Linked DNA regions of Saccharomyces cerevisiae S288C. The protein of the gene in region 2 binds, or shares a complex with, the protein of the main gene of each other region. Each region holds a gene or a part of one and is shown on either strand. Other genes may lie near its edges. A codon is read from its position in the direction of its gene.

Region 1 (3,185 bases), on a different chromosome or scaffold from region 2:
ATTTTAACAAAATCGGAGCAAACAATATCTAGAGCCTCGTGTAAGTGTGTAGTATCTGCAGTAGCAGCCGTGTTGTTGCTGGGTGTATCCACCAAATCGGACGCTTTCTTGACCTCATTTATATTTGCAGTTGTTGTTGTATCTTCTTCTTCCTCTTGAATCAAAGACGGGAACTTTTCATTAAAGAATTCCTTGTAAAGGTTCGAAAATTCCATGGAGGTCAATTGCCGCTCAGCACATTTTAGTGCTAAGTTGTATACTGATTCTTTTTCCATGGCAATTCAAGGTCATATACTAGCCACGAATAGCTTTGTTGAGGTGGTTTAGCTTACTCATATTTGTAGATTACTGTTTCAATTAGCTGCCAATATATTAGTGCTACTAAAAATGCCTTTCAAAAGCAAATGTTCCGGGTAACAATCAGATTGAATGTCCATAGTATCTAGGACAGTTACAATTACAATTTCCGTTAAAAAACTAATTACTTACATAGAATTGCGCTATGGGATGGAGTCTTCGACCTGTCCATTTTGCCAGTCAGGGACACTGATCTCATTGGCGGCGGTATTTTTTTGCCATTCTGGAATGGAGGCGTTGCTATCAATAGTTTGTTCTCTTGCTTTTTTCCACGCTGGAACAGCATTGTCATCTTTATTAGCATCGCTGCCGTTTTCCTTTTCTTTATCACTTTCTTCTTGCATGCCCATTTTGGCAAGAATCTCAGACGCAGATGGAATCGTATCTATGCCAGGTATACCATTAGGAGATATGGAAAATAATCTGTTGTCCTGCGCATTACCGGATTCCATACGGTTATTCATTAAGCTTTTCAGAGATTCCATTTCTTTTTGGATATTATTTAACTCTTGCATGCCGTCATTATCTGAAACAAATTTGTCGATCGTATTTTGCATATTGACCACCTCGAGTTTAACTATTCTAAACTCGTCTTCGATCTTTTCCCTGCTTCTTGTTGTCTGCACAAGCGCCTGTTTCAGTTCAGCAATCGTGTCACTAAGTTCCTTTAATGTTTCGCTTTCCTTTTTCCTAAACTCAGCTTGCTCCGCTTCGATGGCATTGAGGACTGTATCGATTTTGGAGAACTGATCATCAATTTCTTTTTTGTCCCCTTCCAACTTGCTTTTTGCTTCTGGTAAAATATTTGGTATCACATACCTTCTAGTTACTTCATATGCACCATACAACAGCCCAGCTGTGGCAGTAGCCATCACAAAATAGTCCTTCCAATCCCTGTGGGGCAGCGTTGGTGGCATCGCTTCATAGAGATACATATCCTGTGAGGCTCTATTCTCAGTACTACCAATTTTTTTCGATACTTCATCGCCTACGATACCGTCTTTCTTGGGCTCTTTCATGGCTATTTCAATCTCCTTTTCTGTTAACCCTTTGGATTTTAAAAATTCGATTTTCTTTAAAAGTGGAGCATCTTTAATGGACTCATCCTTTAAAAAGGATACTGCTGAGTCGAACAATGCCTTACGATCTTTACTGACCACGTCACTCATTCCTTATTCACCTTACAACTTCTCTGTTTTACTTGAGTTTTCAAATTGATGGGCAATTTCTTATATTTTTAAGCATTGAATATATGTTTTACAATTATCTTTCGGGCGCTTATTAAAACCGCTATGACTAAAATGAGAATGAGGAGAAAGAGAATCACTCAGCAAAAAAACCGTGGATGGTTAAAACGACTGAAGTAGTAAGCGAAGTTTCAAAGGTGGCAGGTGTAAGACCATGGGCAGGTATATTCGTTGTTGAAATTCAAGAGGATATACTCGCGGATGAGTTTACGTTCGAGGCATTAATGAGAACTTTGCCATTGGCGTCTCAAGCCAGAATCCTCAATAAAAAATCGTTTCACGATAGATGTTCAAATCTATGCAGCCAGCTGCTGCAGTTGTTTGGCTGCTCTATAGTAACGGGCTTAAATTTTCAAGAGCTGAAATTTGACAAGGGCAGCTTCGGTAAGCCATTCTTAGACAACAATCGTTTTCTTCCATTTAGCATGACCATCGGTGAACAATATGTAGCTATGTTCCTCGTAAAATGTGTAAGTACAGATGAATACCAGGATGTCGGAATTGATATCGCTTCTCCGTGCAATTATGGCGGGAGGGAAGAGTTGGAGCTATTTAAAGAAGTTTTTAGTGAAAGAGAATTTAACGGTTTACTGAAAGCGTCTGATCCATGCACAATATTTACTTACTTATGGTCCTTGAAGGAGTCGTATACAAAATTTACTGGAACTGGCCTTAACACAGACTTGTCACTAATAGATTTTGGCGCTATCAGCTTTTTTCCGGCTGAGGGAGCTTCTATGTGCATAACTCTGGATGAAGTTCCATTGATTTTCCATTCTCAATGGTTCAATAACGAAATTGTCACTATCTGTATGCCAAAGTCCATCAGTGATAAAATCAACACGAACAGACCAAAATTATATAATATCAGCTTATCTACGTTGATTGATTATTTCATCGAAAATGATGGTTTATAATGCCAATTTTTTTTTTTCGCTTGCTCACATTTATGTAATCGATAGACTCTTATTACTGTTTGAACTTCAAAAACAGCACCTTTTACTAAAATCATTAAATATTTCTTGAGGTATGCATAATTCTCCATTAAATTTCCCCTCAATTAATGCTAACGCAGCGCTCCCTAGACAGCTGTGATATAAATCAGCATCTTCTTCGTCATTTTTACTAAAGCCTCCAGTTAATGTTTTTTGCGTTCGATCAAGCAAATAATTTGTGACTAGTTCAGTTTGGCATAGCATTTTCCAATCCTTTGTTAGTAAGTGTAGTGAATTTAAGCACCAAAATGCGTAACACGTATCAGCGAACTTGTTCTCCCTTCCCTGGAAACCGCCATCATCAGATTGATCATAGCTGGCATTCAATTCGCTTTCAAATTTCATACATCCATGGCTTGATACTTGCCTATGTAATAGCCAGGTTATGGTGTCTTCTTTAAACTTGTCTGATAGCTTTTCCAAACTAGAGAGTAAAGCTAAGGTAGACAGCGCACAAGATGTGTACCCTGAGTGTGGTTCATTGTGGGCACCGAAAGCTCCGTTGTAGCATTGTTGCGACATTATATAGCCAAGCAACTTCTCAGTATCAATGTATTCATCAAAGTCTTCTTTGGATCGGCATCCG
Region 2 (3,568 bases):
CATCGTTAGCGATTGATTTGATTAGAGATGTAGCAAAACCAATGTCCATCGAATCTATAAGACAAACAGTTGCTACTTTGAACGTTTTGATCAAAGATAAGGAAAGAGAGGAGAGGCAAGCTCGTCTGGCCCGTGTTAGAGGTGGTACTGCTACTGGGGGTGCTGGTAAGAAGAAAGTCAAAGGTAAGACCAATTTGGGTGGCGCATTTAAGAAAGATCAAGATTTCGACCTAGATGGCCCCGACGATTTTGAATTCGGTGATGACGACTTTATGTAATCTGCTTATTGTTTCTTTGCTATGATAAACTTGTCCATCTCATTTTGTTGGTGAAAAAAAGCGAAGCCCAGCACCGCAGGCCTTGGATATTGCCATATCACAATTGTCCTGAAATTGTGAATGTCTATATTCCCATATATATATCCATAGGCGTTTCATTCATATAAAAATAAATACGCATATGTGTACGTAGGAGATTGTGTTTTCAAGATGGAGAATATAATGTGTTTTTGCACCGTTATCTGGCTTTTTGTTAAGAAGTACTTCGTCTCGTTTCTGCTGATTCTCCCTGGAATATTTACATTACTTTAGATTTTACTATATATATATGCGAATATATGTGTGCAAATATTGATGCACTAGTGTGTACGCGTTTCATCATCAACATGCTCAATTTTCTTCCGTCTTTTTATGATCTCAATATAGTTATACGGAATGTAGCCAATATTGCCGTTCTTTGTCCTCACTTTCCACCAGTCAGAATCCCTCCCAAGAGGGTCTTTCTTACTCAAAATTGCCATCAAGTCGCCCTTTTTTAAAGCAACTTCCATCTCTGGGTTTTCTGGAACAAAATCATATAACGCTCTTGCAAATTCTAACTTCGAAGGATCAATAGGCTCGCTACCATTTCCTTGCGATGCTCGTATGGTTCCAGAGGTCTGTAGTTTAGTAATAAATTTGTTTAGTAGATATGGAAAACCAAATACTGCCATCAAAAAAAATAGTAGCGGTTTCCATGAAATTTTCCTTCTTGTGGCTTTCTCATTAGAATTTATGGTACCACTATCATTAAACTTTTGAAAATCTTCAATTAGTTTATTTTTGCTTCCTTCAGATTCTGCGAAATTCTTTGGTGGTATTCCTAGTCTCCCCTTAGTAGCACGATAGAGTATTTTTTTAAGAAACTTCATTATAGCAAAGATACCAAAAAATGAACCTAGCATTTCCTTCAAATTACCAAACTGTTCTGCGACGGATATCATGGTGAAAAACGAGTTGTGTGTGGCCATATAAGTAGATTCCAGCATTTGTGCAAATCCAGTAACAGCGCCTATCAAACTTTCTATTAACTGAAAGGTGGCCTTCGTCGACTCACCTAGTCCACTTCCATTATTCATTCCATATCCCGCTCCTGCACCGTACCCTCCTCCATAAAACGATCCATAATTGTTGCCATAGTACGATCCTCCATAGCCATACCTCCCTATGCTGTTTCCGTATATAGAGTTCATACTATACGGATTATTATCATAGGGTATCCCATAATTGCTATTACCGTATATTCCCGGTATTGTATTCGATTCGCCGTAGGTACCAGAGGAGTTAAGTGCCGCAGGCCGCGGCAAAACTTCGGGAGCAGACTCACTTGCACTATTACTGTTATTGCTTTCTTCAGTTGGCCTGGAATCCTGCTGATTCGAGGTCATCATCGCACTTAAAGACTGAGCATTACGCTGTGGCTCCTCTAACGAAGCACTGGTCTCCCAAGGTTTAGGTCGTGGTACTGCTGTGGATGACATCGCAGGTATTGTTATAGTATAGAATCCCCTTGATATTTATAGATAGTATATGCACTTTCGAAATTGTTGTTCATTTCCACATGCGTTTGCTCACCAACTATCTGATATAATTAATATTAGTCCGGCGGGCTTCGGAAATAAAAAAAATTTGGCCCGCTGAAAAAGGTGTCATTAATCAGATAAAAGAAGACTTTATTATATCATTTTTTTTGGTAATTAATGTATTTAAGTATAGGTTGAATAAACTTGAATGCAATATATAAATTATGTGTTTGTGATACCAGTCACACCGTGATTGGATTTTCTATTCAGCTTTTAAAAGCGGGGTATTTGCTTAGACGACACTATGAATAAATAGCTGCAGCATTCGACGTTGTAAGAAAAAAGATTAAATCACACGACAAGCCCTTTGAAGTTCAGTAATATTCAAATAAAAATTGTCCAATGAGAAGGATGGATAACGGAGAAATCACGCACATTGCAGATGCGTAACTCGATAGCCTACAATACAAAGCGCCTATCAGCATTGATGTATTGTGAATGTTTGTGTAAAATAAGTTAATTTAATTTGAAGTTGACGCTTCATTTTTCCTTCTTCTCCACTTGGACAGGAAGGTTAAGTTGGAAACCTCTTTTACTTTCCCCACTCTGCACAGATGCTGTTGTGGAAATAGCAGAAGTTGGCTCCTCTTCAAAAGCAACATTTAAATCTTCGCTAGTATTAGCATCCGTATCATCGTTTGTTAGATGATCTTCCTCGGACGAAGTTCCCGAAGAAGAATCTGGCTGTTCTTCAATTTTCTTTAGGTCTAAAACAGAAACGCGTGCCAGTCTAGTCTTAGGGCATGGGATTCTTGCTGAATTTCCTTCAGTTTTTGAAGTGGAGGTGGCCACTACTGCGGAGGATTCAGTCAATTTCTTAAGAACTTTTTTACAATTGAAGAATTTTTTCTCCAGTTGCTTGACTTTTCTCTCAATATCTCTTTGGGATCTTTGAGCCTGTATACTAGGATCCTTCATAACCTCAAGCATAAATCTTTCTTCAATGTATCTGTTCGTCGTCATGGAATGCACTAATTTTTCATTCTGCAACTTTAATTCTGTAATTTCAAGTTCTAGCTGCTTGATCTTTATGTCTAAATTCGATTTTTCACGACTATTTGCCTCCTCTGCATTGGCCATAGAGGCCATTTGCATTGAAATATGTTGTTGTCCGTCACACCATTCGGGCTCATAGTCCGTCGACGTAGACGAGATAAAGCTATATCTGTTGTTGTTGTTATTGCCTTTGAGACCATATTGAACGAACCCGTTATTATCCGTAGGTAAATTGTCTAGATTCAGATCCTTAGGCAATTCGTTCACTTCGGTGCTTAGACACTGAGTGGAGCCGCCGGAGACGACTCTAAGTCCTTTGTCCTCGACCTTTCGCACCCCATGATTTTCTGGATCTTCCAAAGGAGTAGCAGGAACAGGAACGTATGAGGGGAGCAACCCTTCGGCGTTTTTCCGTAATATCGGTTCTTCCGCACAGACTTTGGCCTCAAATGAAGGGGGATTGCGTTCTTTCTTTTGTACTTGCGCAACGGATTCTGAACTGCGCAGCTGCTCTAGTTTGTCCTTGATGCTTTGTTTAATGATGTTTTTCTCTATGTTCAATGGATCAGGGTTTGAATTCTGGCCTTCACTAGTAGTTTTCTTGCTATTCTTCAATAGGGCAGATAGCAATGGCAGATTACTGGTTGTTTGAGATAGGTACTCGGGTTTTAA

The links. Proteins that work in one complex are often made in the same cells at the same time.
Region 1: the proteins of PEX13 (region 2) and PEX14 are in contact, whole or in part, in a crystal structure (PDB 1N5Z), measured with the Saccharomyces cerevisiae proteins. Residues at the interface, in NP_013292.1 of Saccharomyces cerevisiae: Tyr315 (codon at 856), Phe317 (codon at 850), Glu320 (codon at 841), Asn321 (codon at 838), Met324 (codon at 829), Glu325 (codon at 826), Pro342 (codon at 775), Arg345 (codon at 766), Asp348 (codon at 757), Trp349 (codon at 754), Tyr361 (codon at 718), Pro363 (codon at 712), Tyr364 (codon at 709), Asn365 (codon at 706), Tyr366 (codon at 703); in NP_011362.3 of Saccharomyces cerevisiae: Met85 (codon at 1,274), Pro86 (codon at 1,271), Pro87 (codon at 1,268), Thr88 (codon at 1,265), Leu89 (codon at 1,262), Pro90 (codon at 1,259), His91 (codon at 1,256), Arg92 (codon at 1,253), Asp93 (codon at 1,250), Trp94 (codon at 1,247).

The regions. Positions count from the first base shown.
Region 1 is NC_001139.9:214,614-217,798, reverse strand, and holds PEX14 (Pex14p), read right to left. Parts: upstream 1,527-3,185; coding exon 501-1,526; downstream 1-500. Other genes in the region: NUT1 (Nut1p), read right to left, coding at 1-275; LYS5 (holo-[acyl-carrier-protein] synthase), read left to right, coding at 1,703-2,521; protein geranylgeranyltransferase type I subunit CDC43, read right to left, coding at 2,588-3,185. UniProt on the Saccharomyces cerevisiae protein: Component of the PEX13-PEX14 docking complex, a translocon channel that specifically mediates the import of peroxisomal cargo proteins bound to PEX5 or PEX21 receptors.
Region 2 is NC_001144.5:535,502-539,069, reverse strand, and holds PEX13 (peroxin PEX13), read right to left. Parts: upstream 1,799-3,568; coding exon 638-1,798; downstream 1-637. Other genes in the region: HCR1 (translation initiation factor eIF3 core subunit j), read left to right, coding at 1-278; MMR1 (Mmr1p), read right to left, coding at 2,381-3,568. UniProt on the Saccharomyces cerevisiae protein: Component of the PEX13-PEX14 docking complex, a translocon channel that specifically mediates the import of peroxisomal cargo proteins bound to PEX5 or PEX21 receptors.